2 linked regions of the Danio rerio genome follow. Each later gene encodes a partner of the first gene's protein in a complex. Links are inferred from orthologs where the notes say so. Each region holds a gene or a part of one and is shown in the gene's direction. Other genes may lie near its edges. The genes, in order: rnaseh2b and rnaseh2c.

What was found.
Region 2: the proteins of rnaseh2b (region 1) and rnaseh2c are in contact, whole or in part, in a crystal structure (PDB 3PUF), measured with the Homo sapiens proteins. The link is inferred for Danio rerio from reciprocal best matches to the Homo sapiens genes RNASEH2B and RNASEH2C. Residues at the interface, in NP_078846.2 of Homo sapiens: Arg14, Gln15, His16, Val17, Phe18, Leu19, Val20, Ser21, Glu22, Leu24, Leu35, Met36, Phe37, Val38, Lys39, Leu52, Glu62, Lys64, Phe66, Glu68, His70, His71, Ser72, Trp73, Phe74, Ile75, Asn76, Gln77, Ser78, Val79; in NP_115569.2 of Homo sapiens: Ile9, His12, Arg13, Val14, His15, Leu16, Ser18, Ala27, Thr28, Leu29, His30, Leu31, Leu32, Pro33, Cys34, Glu35, Val36, Ala37, Val38, Asp39, Gly40, Pro41, Ala42, Pro43, Val44, Gly45, Phe48, Phe63, Val75, Pro77.

The regions. Positions count from the first base shown.
Region 1 is NC_133184.1:31,343,296-31,347,812, forward strand, and holds the start of rnaseh2b (ribonuclease H2 subunit B), read left to right. Parts: upstream 1-1,687; 5' UTR 1,688-1,812; intron 1,813-2,603; 5' UTR 2,604-2,675; intron 2,676-2,786; 5' UTR 2,787-2,894; intron 2,895-4,517. UniProt on the Homo sapiens protein: Non catalytic subunit of RNase H2, an endonuclease that specifically degrades the RNA of RNA:DNA hybrids. Participates in DNA replication, possibly by mediating the removal of lagging-strand Okazaki fragment RNA primers during DNA replication.
Region 2 is NC_133189.1:40,008,545-40,011,614, reverse strand, and holds the end of rnaseh2c (ribonuclease H2 subunit C), read left to right. Parts: intron 1-732; coding exon 733-886; intron 887-970; coding exon 971-1,083; intron 1,084-1,168; coding exon 1,169-1,288; intron 1,289-1,579; coding exon 1,580-1,603; 3' UTR 1,604-2,507; downstream 2,508-3,070.

The DNA.
Region 1 (4,517 bases):
CTCTTCGTCCATTTCCAAGATACTGGCGCCATCTTGAGGTAATTGACAGGAACATCAATTTTCTATAATATTTAGTTCTATATGAGTTTTGGGGTATTTTCAGATCTAATCTAGGAGTACAATATATCTCTGTCTCAGATTATATGGTCTAAATATATATTATATTGTATTAATTAATAACTGAATTGATTGTTAAAAACACATTTGGTCAAGGAAGAGAACTAAAATGTTGGGATAGTCCCTTGTTTATCTGTGAGAAACTTTAATTTTTTTCACCAGAAATAGAATAGCATTTAGGCTGTTTAAACCTTATCAATTGCAAATTTAAAGTTGATCCTTAACTTAAATCTAAACCTAAGTGATGAAACAATAAGATTGTAGCCTAGTTAATCCAGGTTTATTGTGAAATAAAGTCCAGGATCAAACATTTGGTATAATTGTAAACCACATGCCTCATATTTAGGCAACATAATTCTTAGATAAACTTTGATTTAATCCAGATTTTAGATTAATACTGCTGATGGATCACAACCTGACAATGTGAATAAAATGCTTTGTAAATAAATATTATCATACTGTGCAAGAGACACCTGTACCCTATGCACCACTGGCAAAACCTGACAAGATCCTGGGGCCGCTTGAAGTGCTGGAACTAAGCAGACACCTCAAGACTTGTCTCTGAGTTTTTTTAAACATCCTTCCTAATATTGTGTGTCTTCCCTCTCAGTGCACATGTAGGCTATGTGTGTACCAATAATACACACATTAGTTATTTAAGCTGTATAATAAATGTGTCATGTAAATGTTTACAGTAGGCTATATCACAACAAAAGAGAACAGCTTTGCATCTTGTTTTTTATGTTTGGGTAGAAGTTTATCACAAACGATTCTTTTTTAAATATTTGTAGCTGGTGGTGTTGCACAATTCCCCCAGACAACAAAAATAGGCCACAAAGAAAAATGTACTATAAACTATTTGTCATATAAATAAATACATGAAGAAGTCCACAGACATATTTATGCACGTAGATAACTGCAGCCTAATGAACCTGCTGTGAGTTTGATTTGTATCATAATAGGCCTGTCAATGCAATAAAATTAGGGTACTCACCAATCAGGTCTGAATAGCTTTTATAACTTCACTAATCTATAAATCCATGCTATAAATAGCTATAAATGTAGAAATTTTATTTATACAGTGAAGTCTATACAGTGTTGTTTTACATTAGATTAGGTCGTTCATTTTCAGTACTGATACTGAAATACTGTACACTAAACTCAACACCTTACCTTTTAATGGTTTAAATGGTAACAAGAACAACACTCTTTAACAATAATAATTTAACACAAAAAAGAAGAATCAGTTGATTAAAATGGAAGACCTGAAGGCTGCCTGGTGCTTTTAATGACCCGCTATGTCTTTAAGGAATACTGAGAGACCGTACCATTTGGAGAGAAGGGTGAACACGGTGCACTCGATATTTCTTTAGAGGTGCCATTCTCCACTCCCGTTCTTAAAAAACATAACATCTGATTTATTCGCAATATATTATTAAGGAATGTATAATATTGTGCAGCACTACCTAAACAAACCCTAGAATAAAACTTGAAGTCGAGTACTTACCCCTGCTTATGTGTAACTCAAAGATTTGCCGCCATTTTTCTGAAGGCACAACATTCACTCGTCGCATTTATACACAGCGGACAACTTGTTTTTACAGTTTAACTTTTAAAACTAGTTATTTGAAATGACTTCTAAAAAGAAACGGTCTGCACACACCGAGAGCGACAGTTGGGTTGTCATTGCTCCAGGTATCTAACATTTGCTACGTTTAACGTTAGTTACTCTGTGTTGCTGTTGCATGTTCACACATGTCCCTACATGCATTGTATACTAAACTTATATAACGTTACTGATGTTATAAACAGTCTTCAGTTCACATCCTAATACACTGAGGACTCGTTATGAAAATGTATTTATCTTTATGCTCTATGTTTAACCGTTAGTTACATTCAATATTTTAAATGTTTAAAAAATGAGCTTTTCCTGCTTACCAAGACTGCATTTGTTGAATACAGTAAAAATTGTGTAATGTTAATGCACTATAAAATAACTGTGCAAAAACAGTTTATCATTTAAATTAATAATTTATTCCAGTGATTTTAAAGATTAATTTTCAGCTTCATTACTCCAGTCTTCGGGTCCTTCAGAAATCACTCTAATAGTAATTATTAGTAGTAGTGCATATAGTGTATGTATAACGTTATTACGTTACCATTTACTACCTTTTAATTTTCTGAGAATTTCTCTCCTCTACTTAGCATAAGATATTTTGAAAATGTGCTCAATCGAACAACTTCTGGTCTCCATTGACCCCCATGGTATTTTAATTATACCATGTAACTGCAACCTTTTGTTTTGGCCACATTCTTCAAAATATGTTTTTGTTTTCAGAATTAGTTTTTTCGATAAGTAAATGACAACAAAATTTTCATTTATTTTGAGTAAACTATCCCTTTAACCACCAACATCTACATTAAGTTTAGTTATGAATTTTATTAATCCACTTATATTTTCCTTCTGTGACTTCCCTTTTTTTCAGATTCAGCACTAGACACTGGCAGGTCTGTCGACAGTGATCCTTCCTTCATCAAACTGAAGAATCCTTCTACAGGTGGCCTTTTGACTCAGTGCACTCATTTACTGCAACTGATGGTTTAGAGATGACGTGGATCAGCTATATGAACCTTAACTAACTGACAGTTCTGTCGTTGTCTGAGTTCAGGTAGTTCTTCGCTGTACCTGTTTGGCTGTGGAGATTTGAGTGTTTATGAAGTAAAAGCTTTTTCTGAAGACTTCCGGTCTTGGTTTATTGGACAGACAGTGCAAAGAGGTAAGCTCACACTACAGAGAGTGAATCGTCCATTAATAGGATAGTTCACACAAAAATAAAAATTCTGTCATAATTTATTCACAATCTATTTCAAACCTGTTTCAGTTTCTGATAGTAGGACTGCATGATATTGGAAATATTTTACATTGTAATATTTTTTTGTTCTGTGATATACAGTAAAAGTTAGAATTATTGGCTCACTGTTTATTTTTTCCCCAATTTCTGTTAAATGGAGAGATTTTTTTAACGCATTTCCAAACATAATAGTTTTAATAACTCATCTCTAATAACAGATTTTTAACTGATTTTTTTGCCATGATGACAAAAGATAGATATTTTTCAAGACACTTCTAAACAGTTTAAATTAACATTTTTAGGTTAACAAGGCAGGTTAGGGTAATTAGGCAAGTTAATGTATAACTATGGTTTGTTCTGTAGACCAGGGGTTCCCAAACTTTACAACCCGCGACCCCCAAAATAATGATGTCAGTGATTTGGTACCCCCATTTTTCAAGGTGGTTATACTTTAAAAATACACAACTATAGGCATAAAAAACATGAGCATATTGACAACATACAAATGCAACAGTCTAATAACCGTATAATGTTTTTTGTAGTCATTCATTAATTTAATTCAAACATAAAAAAATTAAAGGCTGATGGCTGATTTTTGTTTGTATGTTGTTGTTGTTGTGTCTTTAACATAACTATTAACTATCTTCTGTGGGTTATGAATAAAATATGGTAATTCTAATAGTTTACTCAAATGTATTTGAGTTTTGGAAATCACTAAGCGACCCCTTTTCATTGTCCCGCGACCCCTCAAGGGGTCCCGACCACCACTTTGAGAACCACTGCTGTAGACTATCGAAAAAAATTGCTTAAAGGGGCTAATAATGTTGACCTTAAAATAGTGTTTAAAAAAAAACTGCTTTTATTTTAGCCTAAATAAAACAAATAAGACTTTCTCCAGAAGAAAAAATATTATCAGACATACTGTGACAACCCCCTTGCTCTGTTAAACATCATTTGAGAAATATTTGAAAAAAAAAAAAAAATTCAGTGGGGGGTAATAATTCTGACTTCAACTGTACATTGCGATATGAATACAATTTCATGAGATGACTTGAATAGCTATTTGGAAATAATTTATAATTTTAGATTCTGTTGGGGAGTACATAATGTATAATAAACAATCTACAAGTTTAAATAAACTCAATAAAAAAGAAACAAATGAAAAAAATAGCCAGTTTTATTGTTTTCTGATGAGTCGAACTGTATTCAGGTATAAAGTAATTGAATAATAAATTGTAAAATAATACTGCATAGTCTTCGTTTTAAACAATTCAATAAAATGTATTGTTGTTAATTTGTCAAAGTTACAAATGGTAATTTGATTTATTTATTTAGAACAGAAAAATCATACATAAAACAATTCTTTAAACAAAAACACATTTCAACATGGTCAAAATGGAGCAGGATGAAGCACAAGCTTATTATTTTCCCACCCCATTACCACACACGTCATTCGTCTATTACTTCATCTTGTTTCTTCTTTTACTTATCTCTTCTTTTTACATGAGACATATGAGCTTTAAATGAAACATATTTTATCCTTTTGGC
Region 2 (3,070 bases), on another chromosome or scaffold:
AACACGTTAGAGACAGACATTTTCGTTTAGCCTTTTAATTTGATGTTGCCGCTATGTTGCTGTTTCTACGCTGTATTGGTTGTTACCAGGTTACAAAAAAAAAATAGCATGGTCAAATCAATCCGATAAGACGAATCGGAAAGCAATATGTTGTTTACGACATTACAGAGAAGGTAGCATTTAAAGATTTAAAAGCACAAACTTAAAATGCATGCAATTGACAAATAGTCACAGACAAATTAAATATTAGTGACAAGGCAGCACTGTCCCAATCGGGCCATTAATGATCCGGTCTACTGTCCCAAGTGTCTCTCACGGCGGCCCTGGGCCACCGGGCAGTCCTTATTGTTTAGCCCTGATGTGTATTGACCATTTCAATGTAGTGATGTCATTGGCTCATGAATATTTCCTGCTGGTTTTCAGACTATTTCATCACTGTAACAAGAGGCAATTCAATCATACCTTAATGTAAAACAGCTATCATGACATTATCAATATGTGGCTCTTTTTGGATTCTCGAAGCTATAGAAATTAAAAATGTAAAGCAGGAAACAGGACCATTGTTTTTGTTTACATGCCTCAAAATGGTCTATAAAACCAACTTTACTTCAATTAACTTGAACCATTATAACAACAAAACATGTTCATAAGTGCACAAAGCCACATGTGGACTGCCTGGTATCACTCTCGCATAAAATACTTGAAATCCTAATAACAAGTTTGTTTTACTAGATGACGGCAAATAGTTGTGTGACATCCATCCGACGTGATTCCATCAAACAAGCTGACAAACCACAGATCCACCTGTTACCTTGTGAAGTAGAGCATGACGGACCCGCCGAAGTCTTCAAGTTCTTTAATCCCACAGTGAAGGAACGCAAACATGGTTAGTCAAACACCAGCACACACCTCGAGACTACAACTCAAGTTTTAGCACTCCACCCGATAAAGATAACATTGTGTTTGGCAGAAACCACAGTATCATTCAGAGGCCGAGGGCTGAAGGGTCAGGAGTTGCAATGCCCACAAGGATACACAGGAGTGGTGCTGAAAGAGGTCCAGAAGCCGGCATCTGATCAAGAGGTGCCTGCAAATCAAACATGTTTAAATGTTAGATGTCTACTTTCTAGGAAACACATCTTTAATGATTTCTAACAATTGTTTCCAGGACAGAGTAGTAAAAGTTTCTTCAGTGTTTCATCATTTCACATACTGGAATTTGGAGACGCCTCCCACATCTGATGACGGAGTTGTGATGGCGATGGCATGGCCAGAGTTAGCAGAGGCGGTGAGTTACTTTCTGAAGCACTTATTTATTGTCATTAACACAGCAGATAATAATGTAATAAACACATTTTCTGCCAATTCAAATTCTCTAAAGCAGGGATGCTCAAACTTGGTCCTGAAGGGTTGGTGTCCTGAATAGTTTACTTTCTTCAACACACCTGCTTGATACCTAGAAAGAGCTTGATTAAATGGTTCAGGTGTGTCTAACTGGGTTTGGAACTAAACTTTGCAGGACACCGGCCCTCTGAGTTTGGGCACCTGCATTAACTTAAATCAATACCTCTTCCTGCAGATACATGGACCAGTGGATGACTGATAACGGATGCTGTTTTATTATGGAGATCTACCCCCCCCCCCCTTCCCCTCCAAGTACACGGTTACAGTAAAACAAATGTTAAAATAATCTTTTGCTGGAAGACCACCATTTTTACCACACTTACCATGAATGTCACAATCTAACAATCTATTAAAGTGTTGTTTTATTGTTTTCCCTTGTGCAAACTCTTACTTTTGCCATGTAGCTGCTCATTATTTAATAGTAACAATACATTTTGATTTGATATTCATTAGTGATAAAAGATTGCAGTTATGTTTTTTGAAACAAGTCTCGTGTTCACCAAGGTTACATTTGTTTGATTTAAATACAGTAAAGATTGTAATATTGTGAAATATCAGTAGAGGGCACCTATTTGACCCCTTTTTCTAGATTTAAGATAAGTCTTTCGTGTCTCCAGAATGTGTTTCAGCTCAAAACACCAATCAGATTATTTATTATCCCTTTCGGAATATTCAAATGTTCTGCTCTGAACACTATGAAGCTGTTTTTGTGGCCTGTGCCTTTAATGCTGGTTCCCTCCACCCACCGTTCTCCACCCACCAGGCCTGTCAGAGTGTGCCTTAATCTTCCCCACGACTGTGTCAGATAAACAGCACAGTGACAGACATGAAGGAAGCAGATCTCACATAACATTTGTGAGAAATTCTATAGTGAAAACTTTCCCAATGATTTTTTGATGTATTGGGTGCAGTTTTTTTGAGCCTTTCAATGTATCACACACAATGTTGTTATAAAGTTCACGCACACAGATATACATAGAGAACGCACGCTTTACTATACACTGCTTTTGCATGGCAAATGTGACAGGATATAAACGTTAATATCCACCGCTATATGGATATCTGTTATGTTAATGTACAAAATAAACCTGATTTAACATCCACAAACCGAGATTGAAGCGTCTTCTTTTATAATTATACTAACAAGCAGCTGTGGTGATAAATTAAAGATAAAGTAAAATTGCTGTAATTCATTACAAACATGCACTGTTTGAAAAACTTTTAAACTTGTAAAACTCATTCTTGATGACGATCTTTAATCCCAGTTGCTTTGCACATGTCCTGACTTGTTGATATGACACATTACTACGGACACATGTTAATAAGCAGCTGTCAATCAATTCGGTGGGCGGGGAAACCACACTCCTACGTCACATTGCGGTCGGCCTCAAAATGGGACGGATTTAGATCTTATTTTAATGTTAAGAGATTCAAAACATTGAGACCTATTGTCTATTATCAATCCCAGTATAACTGTGGACACACTATACGTACACACAGTTGTCCAAACAGTTTACAAAAGATGATCATAGGTGCCCTTTGAAATAGCTGTCTTGTACCTAATTTCACAGCTAAATTACTCCAATCTGTCACATGATAGTAAGGATTTTTTTTCCATGTAAGATTTTTGGATGAACAACGAGTGAACAAATTGGATGAACAAATT